Mytilus edulis: one gene and its partners. The protein of the gene in region 2 purifies or fractionates together with the protein of the main gene of each other region. This does not show direct contact. Links are inferred from orthologs where the notes say so. Each region holds a gene or a part of one and is shown on either strand. Other genes may lie near its edges. The genes, in order: CREB-regulated transcription coactivator 1-like, 14-3-3 protein epsilon-like, phosphatidylinositol polyphosphate 5-phosphatase type IV-like and serine/threonine-protein kinase SIK3-like.

What was found.
Region 1: the proteins of 14-3-3 protein epsilon-like (region 2) and CREB-regulated transcription coactivator 1-like purify together in Homo sapiens (affinity purification with mass spectrometry; 3 studies listed by BioGRID and IntAct, with this or other methods). This does not show direct contact. The link is inferred for Mytilus edulis from reciprocal best matches to the Homo sapiens genes YWHAE and CRTC1.
Region 3: the proteins of 14-3-3 protein epsilon-like (region 2) and phosphatidylinositol polyphosphate 5-phosphatase type IV-like purify together in Homo sapiens (affinity purification with mass spectrometry; 3 studies listed by BioGRID and IntAct, with this or other methods). This does not show direct contact. The link is inferred for Mytilus edulis from reciprocal best matches to the Homo sapiens genes YWHAE and INPP5E.
Region 4: the proteins of 14-3-3 protein epsilon-like (region 2) and serine/threonine-protein kinase SIK3-like purify together in Homo sapiens (affinity purification with mass spectrometry; 4 studies listed by BioGRID and IntAct, with this or other methods). This does not show direct contact. The link is inferred for Mytilus edulis from reciprocal best matches to the Homo sapiens genes YWHAE and SIK3.

The regions. Positions count from the first base shown.
Region 1 is NC_092347.1:28,358,989-28,365,934, forward strand, and holds the start of CREB-regulated transcription coactivator 1-like, read left to right. Parts: upstream 1-3,924; 5' UTR 3,925-3,974; coding exon 3,975-4,085; intron 4,086-4,200; coding exon 4,201-4,317; intron 4,318-4,442; coding exon 4,443-4,571; intron 4,572-5,754; coding exon 5,755-5,816; intron 5,817-6,946. UniProt on the Homo sapiens protein: Transcriptional coactivator for CREB1 which activates transcription through both consensus and variant cAMP response element (CRE) sites.
Region 2 is NC_092349.1:66,417,281-66,424,919, forward strand, and holds the start of 14-3-3 protein epsilon-like, read right to left. Parts: upstream 3,002-7,639; 5' UTR 2,831-3,001; coding exon 2,767-2,830; intron 1-2,766. UniProt on the Homo sapiens protein: Adapter protein implicated in the regulation of a large spectrum of both general and specialized signaling pathways. Binds to a large number of partners, usually by recognition of a phosphoserine or phosphothreonine motif.
Region 3 is NC_092345.1:8,937,366-8,944,633, forward strand, and holds the start of phosphatidylinositol polyphosphate 5-phosphatase type IV-like, read left to right. Parts: upstream 1-4,259; 5' UTR 4,260-4,402; coding exon 4,403-4,487; intron 4,488-7,268. Other genes in the region: uncharacterized protein, read right to left, coding at 2,425-3,359. UniProt on the Homo sapiens protein: Phosphatidylinositol (PtdIns) phosphatase that specifically hydrolyzes the 5-phosphate of phosphatidylinositol-3,4,5-trisphosphate (PtdIns(3,4,5)P3), phosphatidylinositol 4,5-bisphosphate (PtdIns(4,5)P2) and phosphatidylinositol 3,5-bisphosphate (PtdIns(3,5)P2).
Region 4 is NC_092348.1:92,250,882-92,258,637, forward strand, and holds the start of serine/threonine-protein kinase SIK3-like, read right to left. Parts: upstream 3,006-7,756; 5' UTR 2,970-3,005; coding exon 2,835-2,969; intron 589-2,834; coding exon 472-588; intron 1-471. UniProt on the Homo sapiens protein: Positive regulator of mTOR signaling that functions by triggering the degradation of DEPTOR, an mTOR inhibitor. Involved in the dynamic regulation of mTOR signaling in chondrocyte differentiation during skeletogenesis.

The DNA of each region.
Region 1 (6,946 bases), on a different chromosome or scaffold from region 2:
CAGAATTAGTCGAGTTAAGACGAGTGACTTCTTTTTAATTCTGGGATGACGGAACAGAATTAGTCGAGTTAAGACGAGTGACTTCTTTTTAATTCTGGGATGACGGAACAGAATTAGTCGAGTTAAGACGAGTAACTTCTTTTTAATAAGAATAAGAATCATATGTATTATTCCAACCAAGAACCTTTGATGTGCAGCATGACATAGAATCATATGTATTATTCCAACCAAGGACCCTTGATGTGCAGCATGACATGTACAAATAAAACAATACATTGTGATTTGTAACAGAAAAACATTTTTGTTATACATTGAAATGAAATATTAAAAGTTCAGACAGATGTTATTATGATAGCGCTACACACGTTTCTTGTCTTTATTTTATATAAGTCCTTTAATTTAATTGTTTTCTGTTAAAAATATTTCAAACTCTACATCTTTTCAGTTGACGAGTATATATGTTTAATGTAAACGTTATAGTTTAATGAAACATGTCAGTTTAACCTATTTAATACTTATGGATATGGGGTAAATACATGTATGTAGATATATACGCTGTATCAACCTGGAAATGTAAACAAAGGATTTAATAGTTAAATACATGTGTGCACCGTATATATATATATATATATATATATATATATATATATATATATATATTGTGTTAATGTTAACCATTGATTTATTTAAGTTGAAAGTTGTGAAAGCAAACCTGTTTAAAGGATTGGTTATGGAAATTTTGACTAATAGACAATCAGTGTTGTAAGATGCTGTGCGTTATGACTTCATTTACCCTGTAATAATTTAAGAGTTATAACTTTTTCCTAAAGCGTTGTCACTGCTTCAGTTGACTACAAATCGAATTTGTAGAAAATCTTACAAAAAAGTATCGGTCCTAATATTAACAGGGTGCATATTTTTTTGAATCGACTGCATCATTGTTTCATTTGGTGCATTTGGTATTACCATTGGGAAAAGTGTGATGAACCGTTTTTCGTCAACTTGTTCCAGTTTTTGCATAAAGAAAACATAAAAATAACTCGGAAAGGGGGGGGGGGTAAATTAAGCTAGCATCGTTCATTAACGTTTCACGATATACAAGAAGAATTTGTGGCCCTGAATGCTCCTAACCTTCGTACTTAATTTGGTCTTTTTTTAAACTGTTATGGAATCGAGCGTTACTGATGAGTTTTTTGTAGACGAAACGAGCGTCTGGCGCAAATACACAATTTCAATCCTGGTATATATGAGGAGTTTATTTCCTACCTGATTCAAAGTTCAACTACGCTGGTGGCATCTATGTCATTGGACTTGAAAATAAAAGTTACCACAAATACAGTTAGATGTATCAAGACTTAGACAGGTAGAAAGAAATCGGCAAGGAGAATTTTTTGATAACCGAAATGCGAAATGATGCAAATGAGCTTTCAATTTTATGAAACAACAATCTAGCAACACGTGTACAGGATACATATTTTCAAGTTGACACGGTATAGCATGGCATTAATTTAGTTCCTATTAAAAAAGTCAGCGAAAGACGATGGCTACTGTTTTGATGGACGTTTTGTAACCTTGAAGTAATTACTTAGAAAGTTAACAGTTTATATGAGATGCCCCTCAATTTCTTTCCCAATAATGTTGGTCTTCTCTTTTTAGAAAGAAATATTTTTTAATTCCGGATTAGGAATAAAAAAAAAAACCTCCGATCAGAACAAATTAAGAATTTTGTTAAGAACCTTCAATACAATATTTGTAAAACAGTTTAGTGCGTCCAGAGTGATTTTCTATGTTTACTTTCATCGGATCGTTCAAGGATTCGGAAAGGAATCCAGAGTTGATTGTTCAAAGGAGTTGCAATCATGTCATACACTGAAGTAAAAAGTCGAATGTTATAGGCGCGTGTTTGATTATTCGATTGATTGTTCTCTGCTGACTGTCAAGCGACAAGTTGAAATTATAAAAAAATATCTCAGGTTTTGTTTCAGGTAGATGACGGATTGACAATAATCAAATAAATAGGTTCTGCAGAATAGATTGACCAGAATGAAGGGTTCGAATTTCCACTTACACTGGGGAAGAAGGGTATAGACATGGACCGAAATTTTCTAACATTGTGGATAACAGAAAGAGTCGTTGCATGGGTTACTAGTAATATATCAAAGGTAGTTCAATATACCAGACGCGTGTTTCGTCTACATAAGAATCATCAGTGACGCTCAGATCAAAATTGTTATATAGCCAAACAGTACAAAGTTCAAGAGCATTGATGACCCACGTGAAGAGGGTGTAGCACTCTCCCAACACTGGGCATCTTATTAAACGTCCACATTCCAATCGAATGATTCTGTGAACTTGTGCATCCGACTATAACCAAACTAACGCCCTTCTTAAGCATATGTTTACTGCTATATCATGGAGGTCACACATGTCCATACCCAAGTCAACCTCTGAGGTTTATTCAAACAAATAAATAAATCCAACCTCAACTTAGGTTCAGAAAAAAAGGTCGATCGATGGAACGAAGGATAGTCGATTTAGACTACAACTTTGTAAAGGGGATACTTAAATTACGTTATATTGGATCCTAGAGTATTGAGTGACATGCTGCATAATCAAACGAACACTAAACACCCCTTCTGTGCGAGTTCTACGGTTGGCGATATAGGTCTCGATGGTCACATTTATATAATTGGTGAGGCAGTAAATCACGGTCTCACTGCAATAATGGAGCTACGCCAAATTCAAGATATGCTTGTCAGTCCCTGTCTATATCAGCCACTGTCGAAATAAGAAGATATGTCTTTTAGTCCACGTCGATAAAAGATATGTCTATCAATCGCCAACAAAAGACTATAATCGTGGCTAAAAGTTTATTGTATTTTTGTTTTACTAGTATATATGATGAATTTTCCGTTGCGTATTTAGATTAAGAGTGTCGGATATTGTGAGCAGTAAAAACGAAACGTTCAGTGCTTGGATTCTGAAGGTCAGCATGATAAATTTGAAATGATTATCACCTTTCGGTTACAGCCGTCCAAAGTTTTTAAAATCGTCAAGAACTGCACACATTCCGGGCAAAAAATGAAAAGCATGCAGTTAAATGATGACAGACCCTTCACCGTGAACATGTTCATGACCTCGGACTGTTATAAGGATATGACCTATTGGTATTCTGCCAATATTGGGTGGTGTTTTCGGTAGGATCATTTATTTATATCTATTGCTAAGCATTTTTTTTGCGTTTTAGTTGGCAGATATTTATCATTTCGATTTTGTACAATATATTATTTGTCAGCAAAATAAGCTAAGAAATTTCGCTGATAACTTATTCACTTGCAAGTGAACAATTCGACCTCATTGAATCCGTATTCATGTGACCTTTAATTAAATCCCTCAGCTAGAGATTGGTTACGCATGTATTAAATGGGTGTTTAGCCGCTATAAATCAGTCCACTCGGGAAATGCATATGAGTGTCAGCATTGCGAAATATTATGTTGAAAGTGAAACTGCGTTCCTTTGGTTATTTTAGTATATTTCAGGACCTCCACAATTCGATTTCAGAACATTATTTAATCGATAAACAATATGAACAAAATATGGCAGAAACAAACTTGAAATCGTCTTTTCACTAACTGTAACCTAACGGCCAGTGGACGAACTGGCAGTGTGGCCGAAACGTCTCGATAGCTACATGTAATCTCAGATTGTATGATAACATTAAATATAAATGAGTTCGAGATTTTAAATCTTTATATATCATTAATATGACTGAATTTTTAACTGCTTAAGCCTTTTATTGTTACTGATTTTCTTTTAAATTATGAAAATTCAGCATTATATAGATTAGCAGGTGCTTGTTGTGCTGCCACCTATCAAAGATCACATGTATTACACGGATGGATTTGATTGGATAACAATAGATTAGGCCCCCTGCGAAGTCAAAATCATAACAAGCTTGTCCTTTTCTGCCATCATGGCGAATCCACGGAAGTTCAGTGAAAAAATAGCATTACACAATCAAAAACAAGCAGAAGAAACTGCTGCTTTCGAGGCAATAATGCGGGATGTTACGCCTGTTACGAAGGTTTGTTATTATTGTCGCTTGAAACGCCTTATCGGTAGCATTCTAATTATGTCGACTAATGAATCGTGTTTTGTCAACATGAAACTAATTTTCGCTGTTATTTATTTATATGTAGGTCCCGTCGATGCAAAAGCAGCATCTTCAACTCCAACAAAACATAAGTACACAGTACAGAGCCGGTTCCTTACCAAATGTCAACCAGATGGTGGCAAATTCCGGTATAGATCTACAGGTGAGATATTTACGATGTTGACATAACTGTCGTCTCGTGTGATTATTGTTTACATTTTATAGATTATGTTAATGAAATATTATTGTTATGAAACATTATTTGAATTGTTATCTTTTATTTGATAGAGTGCATTTCAACATTTGGATGATTTGAGACAGATGCCAAACCGGATGGACAGTAGATTCCATGCAGTCAGAGACAAGGGGAGACCACTCGGTCCGCACAGACGAGGATTTCCAATTGATAAAGCTAGGGTACACACAGTTTATTAACTTTAACTTATATGTTTTTTCACATCTAGCTAACAGGTTCTTTTGGGAAAATGTCTTGTTTGACTCAGGTTGATGTCACACTGACATAATTTTGAACACGAGTTGTATATGAAAACTTCTTTGATATTTTAGTCTGGAAAAATATCATTAGTTTCCCCAATTCATTATTGAGTCCAGTAAGTCAGTTATTTTTAATAAGCACAATGTTGATTGGATGAAGTTAACTGGGTAAATGCATATTACTGCTCGGCATCATACTAGTTGATATTAGATAAATTAGGACTTTCAACTAGTTTTCAGTATTGAAGTTATTTGAACAAATCACAATATAGTGTATTGCTGATTTTGGTGCAAATGGCATGTCTATTTCTGCTTGATTTATTTAAAGATGGCTGTGACTTAGGTTGGATAACTGATTGACATACATGCACATTGCATACACATGCATATACATGTACATATGTACCATGTACACTCCTGACAAAATGATTCCAGCAATAGTTCCAGGGCATTATTATAATTTGCTGCAATTTGTTTTACTTGGCCTAAATGATTTTGCACAACATTACTCAAGATAGAATTATAAGATAAAAAAGTTACTGGAAATTTTTATTTACTATAATATCTGACATGCTTGAATTTATGGCCAAATTGTAACAAGACAATTACAAAAATGAACTTCATGTAGGTCACATTAAGGGAAGCAGTGCCAGTAATGCCACTTCAATGACTTTTAAATACATGTATAAGATTTCTTTAAATGGTGTGATTGTCAGATTAAGTTTTTATTAAATCATGGCAAAATGTTGTGTCTTTTTTGGGGTCTCAAACTTGATACAAATTCCTTGTTATTGTCCTTTTAGGTAAAATTTCTACTGGACAAATAAATCTCAACAAACATTGTTAGGATTAATAGTACTTTCTATTTGATCACTAATTGCACCATTTGAATACACCTTTGTAAACATTGATTTTTTATAGCTATCATGTATCTGGTTCTAGAAAAAAAGGCACCACTCCTAAACAGAATGATTTAAATTAAGCTAACTTAGCCTTCTTATTTTATTCCCATGTTACTTGATTTTTGCATACAAATTTCCTAAGTGGCATTGAAGGACCTCTTCTGAAGTGATAAACAGTTGTAACACAAATACTTTTTTTTCAGACAAATTGTTCCCCTTATGGATCAGCTTACTTGTCACCACCCCCAGACACCAGTTGGAGGAGGTAAGCAACAATCAATTTTCTGTTTTATCAGTTGCTTTAATTTAACTATATACCAGTCTTATAATACTAATTATTGAGTGATCACACACTATATATGCTTGTAAAGTATTTGAATATTATAAGGTTTGATTTACATGTAACACAAGCAAATGAATATTTTTTTTTTGCTTTTGTGGTATTGCAATGGAATTTTAAATCACAGTTATCCTATATACTTAATTTCTCATGCAAAAATCAATGGTAAAGCAAAATCTGGGTTTTATATATATTCAAATGCAAATTTCTTATTTTAATGGGTAAAGAGGTTCTTTTGCAAAATAATTATTGTTCATTTGCCTTAAAGTCATCGTTCCTCTTAGAAGGATCAATACTGTAACCATCAAATATTAATTTAAACTGAAAAAGATTTAAATGGCTTGACCAACCAGACTAGAAATACTAAATATAACATAAATACAGTCTTGCAACTAAGCCAGAGAAATCACATCAAAATGATGTTGGGCTTATCATCTGCACCACTTAAAAAAACACCATAATTTCAAATTAAACTGTCACTCCAATTAAAATTTGTTAGATGACAGGAAGCACATGTTATTTTATCCTGATCCACAAGTGGTAATTGTTGCATAAATGGATTAATAGTAAATACACAGCACTGCCTCCCCCTTTTTTGAGAGGTTTTATATAAAAATTACCCTCCTTTTTATAACATACTATATAAAAATGCATTTACGTTTGATAACTATATATTGATTTGGGGTATGTATAATCTTCATTTCATATATGAATATGCTATTCAGAATCTTAAATTATAAATAGTCAATGTTATACAGTGCTCTAGCTAGAATTCAAAAGGGGCAGGGTGCCAGTGGAGGGCAGGGCACTTTTTTATGATAGGAGAAGGCACTGCTCATTTTTTTTTTGTCTACGTCCCTGAGTGTATCACGATTTCACATATTTTTTTTCTGTATATATTGTTAATAAAGATGCATAAGTTGTTGTTTTGATTATTTATTCTATAAAATTTGCATAAGAAAAGTCATTCATACTACATGTTCATAAAACATGGCAATACACATTCATACTATTAACCAAAAGAGGCAAAATAAACTTACTTTTCTCCCCCACCC
Region 2 (7,639 bases):
CCAAAACTCCCAAAATCAATACCAACCTTCCTTTTATGGTCATAAACCTTGTGTTAAAATTTCATAGATTTCTATTCACTTTTACTAAAGTTAGAGTGCGAAAACTAAAAGTATTCGGACGGCGGACGACGACGACGACGACGCAGACGCCAACGTGATAGCAATATACGACGAAAATTTTTTCAAAATTTGCGGTCGTATAAAAACTTTAACCTCAGAGTGAACGTCTTGTTTCCAGGCAGAAAAACTAAGTCCATTTATAAGTAAAACACAGAATGGAATTTTTACAAAATTTACTGCTGAATACTATCTTATAATCATATACTTGCTTCTGTTTAAGTTTAGTACAAATCCAGGATAGTTTTAGAAAGTTATTTAAATTTCAAAAACTTTTAACAGAGTGAATATTTGTGACGGAATGTTGGATTGCTAGGTCTTGCTTTTTCATATAATTTTATTTAAGATGCATATGTTAGTGATAAATTTGTCCTGGTAAAATATGTCTGGGCGGACAAACATTACTAGTATAATAAGTCCATGGTTACAGAATTTACTAGTATATCTAGTCCAATGTTAGTAATATATGTCCCCAGACTAATTTTCCTAAGTAATCATGTCCTTTAATTTAAAATCATATAATAAATTCAATTACATTTAAACCATGGAAATTTAAATGTTATGTTTTAGTAATGTTTAAGAATTGCATAGTTATATTTTTGATAAAATTCATGTCCCCAGACTAATTTTCCTAGGAAATCATGTCCATGTCATTAATAGTTCTAGGTTAAAATGTCTTTGCCCTTAATTTTAAAAGGTGAATATAAAATTATAAATGTAATATGTTTTAATATTGTTAAAGAGTTGTATGTATCAAATTCATGTCCCCAGACTAATTTTCCTAGGAAATCATGTCTATGTCATTAGTATTCCTAGGTAAAAATGTCCATGTCTTTTATTATAAAAGAAAATGTTATAAGCAATGGGAATTCAATATTCATGTTTTAATTAGGTTATAAAGAAAATGTCCTTCATTTTAATTGGAAAAAAATAAGGAAATTCTCCAATCTTATCTAACATTTTTTTCATCTATTTTAAATATATTTTATGATTTAATAAAACTCTAAAGAAAAACAAGTCTTAGGACAATTTTTCCTAGAAAAACAAGTGCTAGACATAATTTACTAGCTATGGACTTATTTTCCTAGGAACATTTGTCCTAGGACTTATATTACTAGTAAAATCATGGACATGAACTTGATTAAGTAGGAAAATAAGTCTGGAGGACAAATTTTACTACCGGACCAAATTTACTGTTACACTTATGGCCTGTAGAGATGATTTTACAAGCCTTGGATGCAGAGTCTGTGGCCATGTGTGAAGACTATGTTGGGGTATGTAGGGATACCAGAAATCTTTTTATTTTGTAATAAAGCAACAGTTTAAGCTCTATAGACTTCCTAGAATTAATAATGAAAGGGGTGTTTTATGTTCATTGGGATACAAAAGTGCATAGTGAAGACTTTTAGAGCTTACAAAATAAAAAATAGGTTTGGTTCCTGTTACATACCGCAATAATAGTCAGTTGATCATGATTTATATTTTGCCTGCCTGCATTGATTTTTATGAGCATTTTTTAAAGGTTAAACTGTCAGCGCCATAAATGTTTCCTTTAGAGTTTATGGTTCGATTTTATCAACCAAAAGATAAGCTCACTTACTCAAGTTGGCATTTTAAAGTTAGCTGGCCAATATTACCAATAAGATCGTAACAACTTCTGGACAACTCTGCATTACATACATGTATGGGGTGGAAGCGACAGACTAGTATAACAGCGAACAAAAATGGTATCCAAGACCAGTTTTTGGTTGAACAATCATTGAGTGAACTTCTTTTGGGCCTTAGATAGTTACCAAATAGTTGTTTCATCAATGTTTATTAGAAAAGATGGTGACAAACCCAATAAAGGGTAATCAGACGTTTTATTGGACTACATGTATATACAATGGCAGATTTTTGACAGGACATATTTCCGGACTGGCTGTATGTCTATGGATGCATTATTTATAGAACATCACACCATTGAAATAGTAAATCAGTATTTTGGGATAGTAAAAATTTGCAGATTAGGTTTCTACCAAGGCCACTCCTTCAAGTTTTATTTCCTATATTATTACAATCAAAAGTTATAACTTGTCTGCAGGTGGATTGAACATTATCATATCATACACATGCAAGGAAAACTCGTTGAATTATGAGCAGTCAGAAGGGTAGACCATTTAACATTAAATGATATGTCTGGGAGTTTAAAAGAATAACTGTTCAAATGTGTAATACATTTCAAATGGTTTTCAAATGTACACCATTGCAAAACAATATATAATTGTAGATTCAACTTCAAGAAACCTAACGATACATGGACGTTGTGCATATTTTACATTTATTTAGAACAGTTTACTGGCATTTAATATTCAAAATCTGCATTTAGAAACAACTAGAATCACCCAAAATGGCGACCGTCAGTGTCATGTCAATATCCATGGACACAACTGCAAATATTATCCTCTACGGACAAAAACAGTTTAAAACATTTACCAGTAAAGTATTAAACATGACATGCAATCAGAAAATCAGACATAAAGGTAAATAAGAGGCATACAATAGAAGTTTTAACTGCTTCCTCGTCTTAAATTATGCGAGAGGAAGTAATGCAAGATAGCCGACATATTTTGATTGAATCGTTGACATGTATCGTAAACGAATAAATACCATCATATCTCTCGGCCTGTTCAGCCAACTTGGCCATGTAAACTAAATCCTCTCTATCAGCCATTTCGATGACCACAATTTAGCAAAGATTCAGAAAGATTGTAAATTACTATCGTAAACTGTTCTAAAATGGCCGATGCCGCCAATGAAAGTAGTTCCTTACTAACGGTTGTATCCATGCGCGGGAACAAGCCCATTCATGATTAATTCATTTACTCACCGTTTGCACACGGACGTAGTACGATATATTAATAATTTTACGATTGTCAATTTGTGACCTTGACTTCAATATGAATGCAAAAAATGTACAAATTTAGTCATTTATGTCAAAAAATCTTTTTTCAAAACAAAGTAATTTATTGAAAGATCATAAAAAGCAACTAGACACAACATTTTCTTACATATAATACTGATTTTTTTTCGCTTCTTGCTGTTCACAGTTTCTTAAATTTTTATGAACAAATACGACGCAGCGATTGACTAAGGGAGGAGGTTGCGTTAACTAGGTTGTCAGCTAGAATGTCTATTTCGTGAAAGACCCTCTGAAAATATGCAGCCGGCGTTTTGTAGGTCAAAATTAACGCATTAACTTGAAAAATCACTGAGCAGATGGAAAACATTGCGGAGAAGAAGTATTTTAAATAAATGTGTTAGTCAGATCATTGTCTGCTAAGCAATTCCGGTTCAAGCTGGTCGGCAAATTTTAGTCAATCTGATTAATCAGATCATAAGTCAGTTGTCATACAACATATGTGTCTTTAAATTAATATTGATCAATATTCTCGTGTCATTTCAAGGCAACTCAGTTTAATACGGTCCAGGCTATCTACAATCGTACAATTCAGGGAAATAATCTCTTCGAGAATGCAGTTTTGTCATAGCGGCTATATTTCAATGAAATGCTGAATTTATTTTAAGAAAATACCGAATTCTGAGGATTTTGCATAAAAAGAAAGGGGTTTAAGTATGCATTTACCATAGTATCCATGATTATGTAATCCTAGCTTTAAAGGTTTCAGTTTATTTAGGGAACAACCTCTGTCCGAACCCAACCCGCCTCTGAACTTCCATATTCCGTAATTAGAGGCAGATTTAGGGGTAGCCGTTGTGGAAAACAAATGGCTTATCATACACTATTCATAAATTAATGGGAGCGTGTCTCCTATTTGGAAGTCTTTGCTCTCCATTTTATGCTTGAAAATATCATGCAGGATTTGCCACGATTAATGACCGCCTGAAACTCTTTATTTTGGCTATTTTTATGACCGCCTTAAACGGCGCTGATTTTTTGGGCTATTTTTATGACCGCCTTAATTGCATTTTTTATATGTTATACATGTAAGCCTCAAATCTGTGTCCAGCCTAAAAAATGTGTCCTTCCCTCAGATCTGTGGCCCCTTCCATATTGCATCATAGACTTGCACCATATAGACGCCACAGGTCTATGTCATTGCTTTCCCTCAAATTCTGTTCTTTTCGTGAAACAAGTCATACATTGTCCTATGTGTTTCCGCAGGAAATTATCAGAGTCATACATGTATACATGTATATCCGTTAAATTGTCAAAGCATAGTGAGAAATATCGAGCCATGTTGGGTGCAAAGAAAATCATGGATGAGCTAAAAGTAGAATTTTTTAACATAATGGTAAAAGTTTGTTTGTCATTAGAGTTATGACTCAGATTTGAAGAAGAAAAAAACAGAGGATCGATAGCGGAGCCTGTGTCACTCACCTTAAAGTCTATGTGCATATTCAACAAAGGACATTCTACAACATTATAGACGAGAATAAAATTCATGACAAAAAATTCTGTTATGTTGATCTTGAATTGTATCGCTAATCATTCAGTCTGGTTTAGTTTCTCTCTTTCTTAATTCTTACGTTTTTGCTTACAACACTGACAAAAGAGGGGTCAACAGTCCTCTTTTAAGGGCAATTTCTCCTATAAATTTATTTATGAAATGCACATTTATACCCCTGGGGGTTGAAGGTATATACAAAAAATACAATACAATATACACAATGGAAATTTAACATATTAAACATCATATATAAAGTGGTAAAACAGTAATATTCAGTATGCAGGCGTTGTGTCCACTCCCCTCAGTGCAAATGACTTTTTAATGAACGGAACAGTAAGCTGCATAATATCAAATGAAGATAGAATTAATTGTTATCTGTCTGTTTCAGACAATTTAAAGTATTCTGGACATATATTATTTATATCTTTTTCAAGCTGCTTACGTAAAGATTTATTAATTTTACATTTTAAGAAAAAAGAAGGACAGTCTACTATCTAATTAAAAACCGATCTCTCATCGCTCCCGTTTTCTGATATTGAGAGATCAGGTTTTAATTAGATTGGACAGTCTATTAATTTCGTTACACAGCAAAATTTGACTTGTTAGTTCTTGACTTGCTGATAATTTTTGTGATTTAAAATGTCTTTTTATCTATTACAATCTTAACCATATAAAAGACAAAATGCCAAAAAAAATTGGTAAAAATCGTTGTCAATGGACAATAACGCCAATAAGGAGTGGTCAAATTTTTTCCCCTATATTGTCTTAATTTAAGTTCTTGGCCTACTGATAATTTTTGCTTATTTACGTTGATATGGCGAAAACGCAAAAAAATGGTAAAAATCGTAATTAAAGGGCAACAACTTTAATAAGGCGTCGACAGACGATTTCCACTAGATGATGATTTGTAGAACTTGTTTTGCTGATCATGTTTGCAATTTAAAGCTTCTCTTTTCTATTATAGTTTTCAAGATAATAGGCAATATTTAAATGAAAAAGGTAAAGAATTGTCACAGGACAATAACTCATAAAAGAAGTCTTCTGGCATATTTGACGTATTTGGACTGTAGGGCGTATGGCATTAGCGCCGAATAAAAAAAAAACAATCTTCCATTTGCGCCGATTTCATATTTGCGCTTAGTTGCATTTATATTTTAACATAAATAGGCGAGTAAATACTTGTGCATGCACTATACATTGAATGTAGTTTAATCTAATCCTACTTCCATCTCCCTGGAGTGAGGGGACAACAGTTATATATGTAATTCATAACATTTGTACAACTGGCTAACGGAAGAGGCCGTATAATCACTGGTGGTAAGCAGATGGTCGTAACTTAAAGTTACGACCATCCGAAGATGGGAGACAACTCTAGGGATACATTTTTCTTTTCCAATTTTCGTGCAGTAAAAAAATGTTTCAGTAAAACCGCTTGTCTCATACATACTAATCGTCAGTGCGTTGATATTGAAACAAAATTTGATACATAAAAACATTCCAATTTTCGTAAAATGATCATTCAATAATTCGAGCATGATGGTCGTAACTAAAAAAACAAAAATGTTCAGGATGGTCGTAACTTAAAATTGTGATGGTCGTAACTCTTTATTAAATAGGACCTAATAAGACAAGTCAATAGTTTTAAACGTGTCTTTTGTTATATGAATATATTATATGATATATTTGTGAAGTTGATTTCACTAAATGATAAAAACTAATAGAGGTGAAGAGAGGGATACCTGTAAAGTGCGAAAGGAAAGAAAATTGGAACGAATCGAAAAAAAAAACCAATACAAAATGAAATGACCAGTCACTGTTACTTAAAATATAATGTATAAAATCAACCAAGAGGCAACTAATTATAAGCTGTTAAGTTTAATAACAATATAAATTCTCAAAAGTGGAGAATTCATTTTAACACACAGCTCTTGTTATGATCATTCTTAGTTACGAATTAAGAAAAGGCGATTTTTAACAAATTTGACATCACATGAAATAACAGTATCCTGATTTATTTTCTTTATATTTTGCATGGATTGAAAAGATAAACTTTTTAAAAACTAGTATGTACCTACTAGGTGGAATTTAAAAGAAAAATCTACAATTTAAAATTGATACTTTAAGTCGAAAGAGCATAAGTAAGGAGTCAAAATAATGTTATGGGGATCGTTGGAGACCATATCCGCGAATTCGCAGGTCCGTAATTGAATTAAACAACATACATCTTATTCTTAGCCTGGATTTTGAGAAGTCGTATTGTCATTTGGTATATAGTCAAGCTGATTATAAGGTGCAAATTCGAAGTTCAGGTATAATTATTACCCGTGGTTTTTGAAAATTCTGAATACGCCTATTGGTACCATGCTATCCGTTATACATCTTTATCTTTCTTATGAAAAATACCAGGAACCCTGGACCAAACGTTTTTTATTCCCAATTCATAAAGGGAATGATGCATCCGATCTTAATAACTACCGAGGAATTACAATTACTGATTCATTGAGGAAGCCTTTTTAATAAGATACTTGATACACGTCTTTGTAAATCCTTAGATAAATATCATATCATTGATGAGAGCCAAATTGGGTTTATCAAAAAAAAAAAAAAAAAAAAAAACATGACCGGTACCATCTGACCATATGTTCATTCTAAAAACTATTATAAATAAGTATTGTAATACAAAAGAAGGTAGAATGTTTGCTTGCTTTGATGATTTCCAGAAGGCTTTTAATACTGTCATTCTCCCAGGGATAAAACTTAAGCTATTGAATATAGTTAGAGAGTATGGTAAGAGATCTCTTTAGAACTAAAGTTGGAGTAAAACAGGGAGACAATTTGAGTCCAAATTTGTTTAAAAGTTTTATAAATGAACTTCCTGATTGTGTTAAAAGTTCCCCTGATCCAGCTGTCGTTTATTCACGACCAGCCTATTCTTTACTATACATATGCTGATGATCTTGCCATTTTACTACTTCAGCAAAAGGACTTCAAAGTAAACTTGATGGATTAAGATCGTTGTTTGAAAATTAATCCCAATAAAACCAAGCCATAGTATTTAACAAGACAGGCAG
Region 3 (7,268 bases), on a different chromosome or scaffold from region 2:
TTGAATAAATTTAAAATATATATATTTATCAATTGAAAGGTTTCTCCCTGGTGTTACATGTAAACGTAAGGGTTTTTATAAGTGCACTTAGAATGTCACACAAAATTTTCAACTACTCTTATTCTCCCACAACTGTAAGCATTCTGAAGTAAGCTTTTAATCCTCTTATTTGCTTATAGATTCTTTTGTGTGAGAATTTGATTAAATAGATGAAAAATGGACTCTATCTGTCAAATCAAAAATAGATCAAGGTGAAAATTATTTAAACGCTTGTCATTTACTGAACATAATGCTTTATTACAATGTATGATTTATAGCGCATATATATGTATATATCATATATATATATATATGTACAGTGAATCATAATAATCTGGATTAAAAACAACCATGCCCTTATTCTGAATAATCCTATTTTGTATGAAGCTTTTGGAAAATTTTCATTTCATAATTACATCTTTGCAAAGGAAATAACAACAATGTTCTATTCTTTTAACAAACTATTTTTAAAACAAATATTAATAAATCACCTGTATCTATATTTTTGTAAATATAGAATACAATCATGACAATGTAGTTATTTCTAGCTTTTTTTTTCTTTCTCAGAAAACAGTCTGTAATTGCTCTGATTTTAAATATATATATACATGTACAGTGTATACGCATTTATTTTTACATTTATCATGTACATGTATATTACAGTATATATATATGGAGTAAAATTATATTGTTCTATGAATGATTAAACAGGCAAATTATATATAATTAGGGATCTGAAACTTTAATATGCATACATGTATATACAGATGTAAATCTTCATTTTTTAAACTTTATATAATTCTGTACAAGAATACTTTAAATAAAGGACTTTTATTTAATGTATGTAAATGCTTTGTAAGATTTTTCAGGGGCATCAAATTAACCATATATTTGAAAAAGCAAGTAAACCTATTCTGTAATTGATAACAATGACATCTGACAGTGGGTCATTCTTGCTTTTTATCAGATATCCACATCAAATGTTACTTTTTAAATGGATAAACTTGTCAATTTTCTTTAACATGTTTACCTTTCGTTTCTTGTATGCATGCTATTTTAGAAATTTGAGAATCTTTAAAGGTGAAAATAAAAATTGTAAAGGCTTTCAAAATTCAAATTGTAGATTTTCAGAATTGAATGACAAGTTTTTCCAATACACTTCTTTCATCAATTGTTAAATAGTTCTGATCGAAATCTATATGAAAAAGTTTTATCTGAATACTTCCTTAAGAATATATGTTAAACTGCTCAATGATACAAACCTATAATAAAAACATGAAAAGCAATAACCAAATGATCATTTTTTAAATCAATAGTTGTTCAAAAACTAATTTATATTTTCTCATAGTCATATACATACATTTTGTACTACAATATTACTGAGGGGGAGGACAGGGGATACCCTTCTCCCTTCTCCCACCTCTCTTCTCCTTTCTCCTACCCCTCTTCTCCTTACTTTTTTTTTTTAATTTACCGGAAAAAAGAGAGATATTTTATTTTTTCATATTTTATTTTTTTCTCCAACTTTTTCTCCTTTCTCCCAGCCTTCCTCTCCTTTCTCCTACCCCCTTTCTCCTTTCTCCCACCCTCTTTCTCCTTTCTCCTACTCCCTTTCTCCCTGTCTCCCTTACCCCTGTCCTCCCCCTCATTACTGTACAATGTACATTTGTACCTTGGCTGGTTTTTGAGACAGTTATATGTGTACATGTACAAATGTATGTAGAAAATGTCCAACAAGTCCTTCAAACATCAATTCAGAATTTAAAAAAATCATGTAAAGTAAAAGTGACAAACACATCATTTTCAACATGTTCAATACACAAAATATATGTACATGTATGTGTACATGAATGTCTTAAATACAATTTGTATCTAAAAACTGAATGTCATTTGATTTTTGATTTTTTTCTCAAAGACATACATGTACGTATACGTTCATGACATTCATTTGTAACTGAATATTTGAGGTAAATTAATGTTAAATTTTAAATGTATGATTATCATGATTATAGCTGAAGTTTTCACAATTAATATGCATGTAACAAGCCTTTAATTTTTGTCATTTTGAATTTGAAAGGAGAGTTAAAATGTAGAAGGACCAGAAACAAATTCCTTAATACATACATCATGTACATGTTATCTAGCAACAACCTGTAAAATAACATTGTATAAAGAATTTTTGTGGAAAAAAACTTGTATTGGGGTCAGTGGCCCAGTACATGTAGCTATAATATCATGGCGAACTTAAACAGTTTTGTACAGACTTGGCAATTTACTACCAACAGCTTTCTGATTACTGAGAACAACTTTTACTACCCATGAAGGACTTACAATGTACAATCTGTCTATTTTTACTAGCAAGATTCAATGTATTTATATACTTACACAGTAACTGTTTGAATGTTTTTATTGTGACCATTTGGTAGAGATGGCACAGTAACTTTGGTAGGTGCTTTTCCAGCTGATCTTTTTCCAGATGCTACTCTTGGTGTTTTAAATGAATCTCTTTCATGCTCACTTGAATTGTCGGATTCTGATTTCCATGCAATATTGTGCATCAATGCTTCCTTGGAAAGTTTATACTTATAGGCTAAACTAGCCACATCTTTGTGTTGGTGATGATTGTGTTTAGTGCAAGTATGAGAACTTGATGAATGAGGAATGGGGTTAGAATTAGATTGAGAACATTTACAAGCACCATTTGAGAGGGAGGTAGTTTCTCTACGTGTGTAACTAAAGGCTGCAGTAATGAGAGGCTGTGATGTTGAAACAGTATATGGTTGATTGCAATGGCTGCATATATTCTGACCAGAATTCTGTGAATAAATATTTCCTGATGCAGTGGTATTGTTTTGTGCACTTGTTATTGTTGCAGTATTTTGAACTGCTATTTTTCGGGGTTCATTGGATTCTTTTTGGGCTACTGTTTTAATTCCACTTAACTGAGAATTTTCTTCCCTATATTGTTCAATATATGATTGATGGTAAGGATAATGTTTGAACACGAAACTATTTTGAATCAAGTTTTTTAATCGTGTTTGTTCTCTCCATGAGTAAGTAATAGGTTGTGGAGTTGGCTTCTCCTTTTCCAGTTTGCGTAGAACACATTTTGAACTGCTAAACCATCCTGTCACATCCTCATTCCTGGTCACTTTAATAGTTTTTGGCACTTTTAATTCAGTGTTTCCTTTTGATTCAACCATGTAATCAGTCAGCCACAACTGATCATCAATTTCCAGCAATTTATTTTGAATCTGTCTATCCAAAAATATATTGAGATCATGATTTGAAGGGGATTTTGCTCCTCTAGCAGAGTTCATGGTTACTCAACTCACAGTTTTAAGTTTAATTTAAATATGATTTCTACTTTGTCATGACATTTCCTTTCATTCATCTCAAGTGTAAACCTAAATTGAAATAAAATAACAAGCAGTTTATCAATAACTTCCTTTTATCCATATATCCAATTGGAAAAGGTTGCTGCAGTCTCCTGACACATGTGCCCTTTCCTCCATTTTCAAACAATGATTGTTGGCATGAACATCCCTCTTGGCTGTTACTTTTTGTTTAACCTCCAAATTTAATTAATTATTTGTCAATTCTAGATTTCAAACACAATTTGCATTACGGAATAATTTAATCGTTTCCTCTTAAAAGATTGTTTTTAACAGAAGTCCAAAAGATTAATTAAAATGTAATTATCTTAAAACGAAAATAAGAGGGAGTGAATAGAACAGCATCGTAAATGTTTTGTTATGATTTGCAACATTAAAAAACTACGTATTTCATCATGAAATGTACAAAAAATGCAGTATTTACACTTTTGAGTGCAAAGTTATATCTTATATGCAATATTATTTCATTTCTTTTAACATTAATATTTTTGTACGACATTCCACCAGCAAACGCTTGACAGAATGGACATTTACCTTACCAGCAAACGCAACAGAGATTCTAAGTACCTTGCAAATATTACTGAGGCTGCGCACTGTGGATTGCATTCCAAGATGGTGGCTGCTGATATAAACAAATACACACGCCGGTAAATAAGCGTGTTTTATCACATTAATGCAACTTTTATATGATATTATCAGTTCTCTTACAGCCTTTGCCAATCAACGTTTTCTCTGTCAAATTACTCAGAATCTATAATGGCATATATAAATCTCAGATGCTGATTCTGAATTTATACAGTTGCTATGGTTTACTCGGGGTAAATAATAATCAAGAATAATGATTAACTGTGGTTTCTGAATTAATCATACATCCGCATAACAACTTTAGTTGTTAAGAAAACACACTATCTATGTTCAATAATGCATGAATTTGATATGCAGTAAGTAAAGAAGGTAAACATGTAAACATGGATGTGTTACCCAAATTTCACACACAACTTTTATATTCACATACTGATAATCACTGCTGTAACAGTTTTTCTGTCAATACAAGTAAGTTGATATGAGGCATATACACAGGCACTTGTCTCAGAAAAAATTTCCTATATACCTTATTATAACACAAGGTACTTAACTAGCATTTTAGAAAAATGTCGGGTGGTGACGAAGTTCCGTTATATGCCGCTTTATAGGCTGTTAACCCCACTAAAACTTGTTATATCGTAAATCTAAATTGATTTATCTTTACAATGGTGTATAAAATGCCTACATTTGTTGTCGGAATCATCCGTATCAATCCTACCAAAGTATGTCAATCATAATAATTTTGCAAACCGCTGAAGAATTGGCAATAAACGCGTCACGTCTCCTTGTATATCTCGGTTTCCGATTGGTCAATTCTATGGGAAAGTCTAAATGATTCTCGGAGTTATCTCTGATCTTGTTTCATTTCATACGTAAAGTCAAAAGAGAGTCTGCAAGACATTGACGTCATGGAAAAATTTGTAACTTAGTCTTAAGTCTTTAGTAAGTGTCCCAAATGACACTGTAAACACTTGTGTACGTTTCCTCTTTTGTAGTTTCTTCACATATGTAATGTTCACTCATGTACTTAATTGAAATTGTGGCTGCTGCTTAAAAAATTTTGACTTAATTTTGATATAGATTTATAGTGTTTTTTGCTGTATAGTGTTTTTGAATCTACCAGACTCCGTTAAATAATTTTCCAGATGGCACAATATCTCATTTCGATTGTCTCTATTAATGTCTTCTTCATCGATTCCTAATAAGGTGTCTAAATCCATGTGTATATTTCCTGTAATAAAGTAAATAGATGTTCTCATCCTCTCTCTAGCCTCCTCATAGTTAGAACAATGTAAAAGTTCGTGTTCTACAGTTTCTGGCTCTCCACAGGAACAGTTTTTGTCTGATGATGGTATAATTTTGGATTTATAATCATTTAGATCACAATAACCTGTTCTCAAACTAGTTGTAATTGAAAACGACCATTTGGATGGTAAATCTTTTGGTATTTTCTGACATACTTTTTGATGATAGTTGTAATAATTTCTGCCACGTTGACTTGATTCCCATTGGTTCTGCCATTTTCTTAAAACACTTTCTCTTGCTGCACGTTTTATATCCTGCCTGGTTACTTCTGATGGTTCTTCTATTTTTTCAGCTTCTTTAGCTCCTTTTTTGGCCAGTGAATCAGCAATGTCATTTCCTTGGATATCAGCATGACCAGGTGTCCATTCAAAATTTAATGGAATTCCATTCATCTTTAATACTTTCATGTTTTTCTTAATTTCTCTTATGACTTTGATGTAATTCTCTGATTTCCAGTTTAAAGTTAAAATTCCAATTGAGGTCTGACTATCTGAAAAAAGTGTAATTAGACATACCACAAACAACACTTGTTAGATTTTTTTCATGGTATATTATATAATTTTACTAACTGTATGATAAGTTCTATTCATACGAAAACTAACAGGTTTTTTTTAAAACAATTTTTATAATATATCATTTACTGCGGACGTGTATTGCCAATTCTTCAGCGGTTTGCAAAATTATTACGATTGACATACTTTGGTAGGATTGATACGGATGATTCCGACAACAAATATAGGCATGTTATACACCATTGTAAAGATAAATCAATTTAGATTTACGATATAACAAGTTTTAGTGGGGTTGACAGCCTATAAAGCGGCATATAACGGAACTTCGTCACAACCTGACATTTTTCTAAAATGCAAGTTAAGTACCTTGTGTTATAATAAGGTATAGGAAATTTTTTTCTGAGACAAGTGCCTGTGGGCATATACTCTGAAAATGTGTGATAGTGGTAGTTTACATTTGCATTGAAAATTTCAACACTGAACAGTAAAATCACATCTTTCAGCATGGCTTGGGAAGAACTCTATATTTTGAACATCTGGATAATTAACATGTGCTTCTAGATACATTTGTAACTCAACCTGAGACAAGCTTAAACTCTAAACAATGGATCTATAGATTTTTATATCTAGAAATCTATAATTTAATAAAGTGAAACAATAATTGCCTTTATTTCATAATTTTGTTTTCTGTTTTGCTTTTTATTTTGTTTTTATTTTTCTTCAATTTTTAAATAAGTTGATCTATGAACTCACAAAATGATGATAACAATTTCAAAAAAAAGTATAAAATTATTTAAAATATCTAGGCATTTCGCTTTTTTCTTATCTCAAATAGAACAATAAAAAAAATATATATTATTACATTGGTTGCAATGAATACATTGATTTCCCAGTTAGATAAAAACCGATAATTTCACATGTGAAATAAACGCGGTTATTTCACTCTCTGACGTCATACAACAATAGGCGTTGTCAAGACGTCGTTAACGTCGGATCAAAACAAATTGTCAATGCGTAGGAAAAAGATATAGTTCCTTACATTTTCTACATTAATTTTATAAAAAAAAGCCATTTGCCAATGTAATAAAAAGAATAACTAATCGCCGTATTTGAATATCAAAAATAAGACAACTTGTGACCGAACGCCGCTATGGACTAAAGTCCTGCTGCGCACTCGTTTAATCCATGCGTCGTTCGGTCACGCGTTGTCTTATTTTTGATATTCAAATACGGCGATTAGTTATACTATAAATAATTAACACCAACAGCAAAAGCAAATTAATCATTATCATTCATCAGGCAAACAAAAAAGAGCTTACCAAACTATCTTAGACCAAAAATGAGAATATTGTTGCAGAGTTTGGGATCAACACACTTTTGCAAAAATAAATAGCCTGGAACAACTGCAAAGAAGAGCTGCAACAGATATCAT
Region 4 (7,756 bases), on a different chromosome or scaffold from region 2:
GTACCAAATGCTTTGCTAGTTCAATGAGTTTTCCACCTAATACTATTATATGATTTTCCAGTTATATTAAGTCTTTTGAAGTTCTGACATTTATTTCTCTTTTTAAATTCTTATACCAGTATAAGGAGATGTAGAGTTGTTATTTATAAAAATATAACATTCACCAACCAGTGTTCTCCCCAGAATTATCAAACAGCACCATGGAAATTAACATAGCAATGGTTTTCCAAAAAATATAGAACCATGGCCACTATATACATTCTGTTATAAAATCATCCAAGATACAACCATGGTAGAAAATATAGCACCAGGGTGACACAGTGCCTTATATTTAAGGCCCTAACAGTAACAGTGACTCAACAACAACACAGTGCAATAGTACAGGGTCAGGGATGTATTTGTTGGATGCATATATATATATAGTTTACATGATAATTGGAAGCATTTACATATGTACATGATGTAGTTTACCTGATAAAGTCTGATGATGTGAGGATGTTTCAACATTTTCATAATTTGTATTTCTCTGTAAATTTTCTTCATGTTATCATCGTCAAGCTGTGTTTTATCTATTATCTTAATGGCAACCTGCAAGGAAAACACAGCTACATTTGTATACAGATACATATGCTTATTCAGTTTTCAAGATCAAATCAAATGCAAAAAGAAAGTTTTGTATAAGCCCATCATAATCATGATAAATACCTGTTTAACATGGTGTTAACTTATTGTTACATTAAATAAGCCATTTTATGTGGCAATACAGCTGCCTTGCATGACACTTGGGGAGTACATTATAAGAATACATTGAAGAAATAATCTTTTAGTTATAATTTCTATTTAGTATGAAAAAAAAATTGTCTTTATCATGAAGCTTTGCAGACGACTTTCTAAAACTAGCAAAAAAGTAATTTGTATAGATGACAACCGGTCTCCTCTGGCATATATTTTTTTAATTTTCTTAATATTTCTGGGGGAATAATTGATTGATGATTTATTGTTGGTTGATTTATGTCCAGTGGCAAATATTTCATGCATGTTCAGGATGAGAACAAGTTAATAGAGAGGCCTAGACCATCAAGGATGATGGTCTGGGAAATTTGGACTGCCACTTGAAAATTAGAATTTAGTGAATAGACACAGAAATTTTGCCCTACAACAGGCCACCTCATGGAGTTGTTGCAAAAGTTATTAACGTGCAATGAGCGTGGCACTCTCTTCACATGAGGCATCCAAATTAAACTTTACCATTCTGACTGGACGTGGCTGCAAATTTGTACATCCCGCAGAGCCAAACAGACCCCCAACTTTGACAAGCGTTTTATTACTGGGTGGAAGAAGACCAAGTTACCATATTTCTTAGGGGTGTAAGGGTTGGTGCCTTTGCTCATTGTATATGGCGGCACCACTCTCCAAGGATAAGGGGGAGGGTTTGGCACCCACTAACATGTTTTACCCTGCCACATTCTGTACGTGTCTGTGCGAAGTTAGGAGCCTGTTATTCAGTAGTTGTCATTTGTTGCTGTGTTATATATTTGTATTTCATTCATTATTTTGTACATAAATTAGGCTGTTAGTCTTCTCATTTGAATTGTTTTACATGTCATTTCAGGGACTTTTATAGGTGACTATGTGATATATGGGCTTTGTTCATTGTATAAGGATGTAAGGTGACCGTGACCTATACATGTACATGCAGTTGTTAATTTCTGTGTCATTTGGTATCTTGTGAAGAGTTGTCTCATTAGCAATCATACCACATCTTCTTTTTTATTTGTCAAGTATATATACAAAAGTATGCACATTACTAATAATATCCTGTTTAGCAAAGAGATATATTTGAATTCCTTTGGTCCAACTTTGGAATCTGAATAAATCTGCTGGTCAATTTACTCAGCCCATTGGGGTCAAGTTGTCTTTGAACAATTGATCATGAAGATCTACTGCAGTGATTAATAGCCAGAAAAATTTGGTTGATTATATAGGGAATCATTGAAGCATGACTGGAGCCCCACCCCTAGGAAAAGTTCTGGATCCGCCACTGCAGATAACAATACTTGTTAGACAGTCAAGGTTCTAAAATGGGTCCGAGAACCTGGTGAGAAATTTAATGACACTGTAGTTGTCATTCACTGAATAATATTTACAATAGAATGAAATAATTTCTGACAATACATGTATACAATGTACATGTACCACAAATATAAACCTACAACGATTCTCAAATTTTAAGAAAAAATCAGTGGAAAAGATAATAAATTTTTGTTGAAAGTTTTTACCATTAATTCTCATGCTTCACATGACAAAGAAAATTTGATTTGGTGATAGAAAATATTCAGATTGTGAAAAAAACACTACCCCTTGATTGGTTGATGTTGAAACTTACATGGTCAATTTCCCTAAACTTGTGATCTACATTGTTTAGGGAAATTAGCCTATTATATCAACATTTAATAGTTTCCATTCAAATCAATATGACATATGTCTCTGTCATCTTCATACTGCAAAAAATAAGACTACAACATGAACAATTGTTTCAGTTGTCAATCATAAGTAAACAATATTCTGTCTCAGCCCCATGGCAAGTGGGTTGTCGACCTTTTTAGATTTTGAAGTCTTCGTGCTCTGGTTATAAAATTTGTAATATCTTGGTTGTACTCTGTAGAGTTTTCTTTAAAAATGCTAGGCTTATCAATTGTAAAATTCGCCAAATGACACTTAACAACGCATCAAAACGTGTGTATATGAACCTTCTCCAATGACTGAGCAGTGATGTTATTCTAACTGTTTTATGTGTATCAATATATTGTTTACTGAGTAACGCCTTATCTTACCTTTGTTTTAGTGTACATATGAGTAGCCAATTTGACGACGGCGAAATTTCCTTTTCCAATGGTTCTATCAATTTCGTAACATCCTATTCTAACGATTCCCCCGTGGGGTTGCGACTTTCCCTTCACCGTCGCCATTTTGTTTACAATATAGATCCACGCATGCGTTAAGTCTCCAAAAGCAATACACAACGAACTTCTTCGGTTGAGTACACACCATTGACACACATTCAACACAAGTAGGTCAATCGAAACTTTAGCGACGAACTGCGGTTAAGAGTACATATTGAAATAAAAATGTAACTATCAAATCTTTTAAATAACAGATGAGAGACATTTATAGTGTGTATGAAAAGAATTAGAATCAATATATAATTGCAACTAAGAAGAAAGTGTGGACTCACACATATGTTTTGTTTAACGAGATCGAATTCATGTGTACGTGATCATAGGAATACTATATTTTAATATCCTACTCCCAACTTTAAAAGTCTTGAACCAATATAAGGGTCTGAGACTTTGGGCACCCCATTATTCACCATTGTACTCTTTATTATTTGGACATTTTTTCTTTCTTTTCAACACCTCCCTTGTTATCTGATCTGTTAATCCCATCCTTACCCCATAGATAAAAGGGCTTGCAACTTATATTGTTTTCAATATCACTGTCCAGCTAAAAATACCTGTAAATTTCTGTGTTTGGGGACTTATTTAACTCCTATTAGGATTGCTCATTTATTTCTAATATAAAACATATATGACTGGTTGTATGGTGTCTATATAGCAGTTTTACTTCCACAATCTATATAAAATGGTTCAGATTTCCAAAGTTGGAGAATTTTAATTTTCAAATCAAATCACAGTCTTCAAATCTTTTAATTTAGAAGATGCAATTAATTATTTTTACTTGGTTGGATAGAGGAATTTTCAAAGGGTGGTGTAGAAGAGAGGCGAAGGATACCAAAGGGACATTTAAACTCATAAGTCAAAAATAAACTCACAACGCCATGGCTATAATGAAAAGGACAAACAGACAAACAATAGTACACAAAACACAACATGGAAAACTAAAGACTGAGCGACACGAACCCGTAGTGTATACTTTTATTCATTTTTAGCATGAAATCATTAATTATTTTTTTTATTAAAAACTGTATTTCGAGCATCCAAATATAAAAGTACCAATATATACTGTTGAAAAAGACGAAGATACGAAATTCAAACTTCTTTTTGCTGAGTGTAGTCTTAGACCAAATAAAAAGTATACTGATTACAGAAACTTTGGAGAACACTGTCCAAAATACAGTTATCTTGTAATTACAGAATATCCATTATTTTTAAAGTTAAAGAATCATGAGCGAAAAAATCAAAGAAAACAGAAATGAAGTACCACCCATCGATACCCTAATACATGATTGTCTAGGGGTCTACCAAAGCCGGCCTCCTATGTGGGATAACATCGCTGCGTTGAAGACCAATTGGTGACCTTGGACTGTTTCTGCTCTTTGACTGTGCTTATTATTTGCTTATTTTATGTGAATGTGTATGTGTATTTTATTTCTTTGTTCATTATTCCTTGTATTTGCTCTTGTACATATTTGAGAGTATACCCTGCTTGCACTGAAGTACTGAAGTGCCTGGATGTATTAGTCTACCAACATATACTTTTGTTGTTATGTTCCATTACATTTAGTGTGAACGGTTTGTTGTTCGGTCTTGCCGGACTACTGAAATACAAATTTAAAGAGCAAAATATTTCTTCTTGATTTCATATAGTCGAAACGCCATCTTAACTGGCTATATATTACTTTAAGACAAATGTCTTTGATATTACTGGTAAATCATATTAAGTCAACGCTTTCGTTAACACAAGTTACTTATAACCTTTAATAAAATTAATAAATGATGGTATGATACTAAACCCCTAACGGGAAGGATTGTGCCTGATGTTCATATGATGAAATCATAATCTTTCAGTCAGTTTAATTGAAGTCTGGAGCTGGCATGTCAGTTAACTGCTAGTAGTCTGTTGTTATTTATGTATTATTGTCCTTTTGTTTATTTTCTTTGGTTACATCTTCTGACATCAGACTCGGACTTCTCTTGAACTGAATTTTAATGTGCGTATTGTTATGCGTTTACTTTTCTACATTGGCTAGAGGTATAGGGGGAGGGGGGAGATCTTACAAACATGTTTAACCCCGCCGCATTTTTGCGCCTGTCCCAAGTCAGGAGCCTCTGGCCTTTGTTAGTCTTGTATTATTTTAATTTTAGTTTCTTGTGTACAATTTGGAAATTAGTATGACGTTCATTATCACTGAACTAGTATATATTTGTTTAGGGGCCAGTTGAAGGACGCCTCCGGGTGCGGGAATTTCTCGCTACATTGAAGACCTGTTGGTGACCTTCTGCTGTTGTTTTTTTCTATGGTCGGGTTGTTGTCTCTTTGGCACATTCCCCATTTCCATTCTCAATTTTATTCCAAATACACAGACTTGGTTTAGAAGTTAGCTAAAGGCTTCAAACCGAAAAACACATCCTTAATTTTACGATGATGTTGTTTACCGAGCCAGTAACTTTAGATATAAGCCGGGTTAACTAATCGATCCTTTAAATTAACTTATTTTACAATGTTACCAATTCAATACTGTAAGTATATCTTTGAATATCGTTTTATCGGTATAAATATTGTTTTGGTTATCAGAAAAAAAAAACAAAAAAAACTAACATTATTTTTGTATGCATATATATATATATATATATATGCATATTCACAGTATTTTGGCATTGGATAAGGTCATGTTTTTGGTTAATGACGTGTTTGCACTAAATCCATTGGATGGTGGGTGTGTACTGATTGATATTTTAGTCTACGTAAGTTAAATGTTTTATTACAGTTGTTATTTGCTTTGTACTAGTTGTCAGTAACTGCGAGTATTCTCAGAATTGTACTTTGTGTCATTTTTTCTGTTGCTGGTACCTTTACTTGTACAGTGTATCGATCTGATGAGTTAAGCTCATTTCAACTGATTTTTATAGTGCTTTATTAGACTCATTTTCTGTAATAAATCCTGAAGGTTTGAAAAATGTATCTGCATTGCAGTTCTAGACATTATGTGCATTGCAGTTCTAGACAGTATGTGCTTAGTACATATCTCATGATTCTTGAAAATATTATAAGCAAACTGACAATTCCATGGAAAAAAATAAAACAAAAAACGACAAAAAGTAAAAGAAAAGTACACAAAATACAACATAGAAAACCAAAGACCAACCAACCCCATAAAAAACCGGAGATGCTCTCTCGTGCTCCGGATGGGTAGGCAGATTTTTCTCACTATGTCATCACGTTCAAACCCGGTTAAAATCATATAAGGTACAGTTAATTAGTTAGACTAAATTTTAAACTAACCTGTGGGCCAAACTTATTGATCTGTATTGATATAATTCCCCTTACAGAGTATAACAGGAAATATCATACAGAATATTCAAACTTATAAGGGGAAGAAAATCATTTAGCCATACGAATGGATTTTCTTGATCTGCTAGTTTTAGTACATGACCAGCGCATAGATATAAGAAGTGATATGAGTGCCAATGCGACAACTCTCCATTCATTTCACAATTTGTAATAGTAAAACATTCAAGTTAGGTAAAAGTACGGTCTTGGCTCACACAAAACAGCAAGCTATAAAGGGCCCCAAAATGACTAGTGTAAAACCATTCAAACAGGAAAACCAACAGTCTAATCTATATAAAAACAAACGAGTAACGAGAAACATGTACCACATCAACATACGACAACCATTGAACATCAGGTTCCTGACTTAGGACAGGTGCAAACAAATGCAGCGGGTAGTATTGTTTTAATATGCACCACATTCACCCTTATCTAAAGCAATATTGTAATATCACAACATAGAATGACACAATATCACGGTCGCGAAACACGCGACTTAAATATCAATTGAAATGGCTTCACTCAATCAAAAGACATATTAACAGAAGTGAACATACAATGAACGAATAAATTTGATCTAAGACACAATGTAAACGAGACAATATCTGAAAAAGCCTAATTTTTTGGCAATTAGAAAAATCAAAATAAATGTCTTTAGACCCGCTATTTTGATAGCACAAATCGAACAACACACATTGAGGATCTAGGAACTGTTGTCTGTAATTCAAACAATTGTTAAAAGTGACAACTAACAATAACAATTTTAAAAATGTTACAAAAAATCCAGTTCTTTCCTGTTACCAAAGTGAATCAACTTTAAAAAGTTTCTAACGGGAATACGGAATAAGTTTAAGACACTATTTGTGGTCTACCAGTATATCCTGCAATAGTTTATCAAATGCCAATTATTGATTTTAGCATTTGCAATACATAAGGTTTAGAAATATACTAAAATATAGAAAGATATGTCGGTAACATGAAAGAATCTTGAGTAACAGGACAACGGTAACAGGACAGAGTTGGTAATAGAAAGGTTTTTTTTTCTCTCAAAAAAATGCTTTATTTTATAGTTTAAGAAAAATACATCATTTCAGATTGGTAACAATTGGAAGATAACAGCAAACAATGTCATTTATACTTTAAAACTGTATTAGCAAGATGAAAAATCTGCCTAGGTAATGAAAAATTCTAAAATAAATTCCTTTCTGTTACTATCTACTATACTAGATTTGCACAATGTTCTCTGCTGTTATCAAAAGCAAAAAAAAACTATTTTTTCATTCAATATACTGTATATTATTTTGAAATTTATTTGATATTGTAATGATAACTTATATTAAATGAAATAGTTGGCATGTAGTAGATTAACTTTTTGATTCATCAGTGAAATGGTCTTGAACATCCTTCCTGTTACTGATTATGGTTATATATGCTGTTACTTTTTATCAGGTAAGCCTCATGGTGT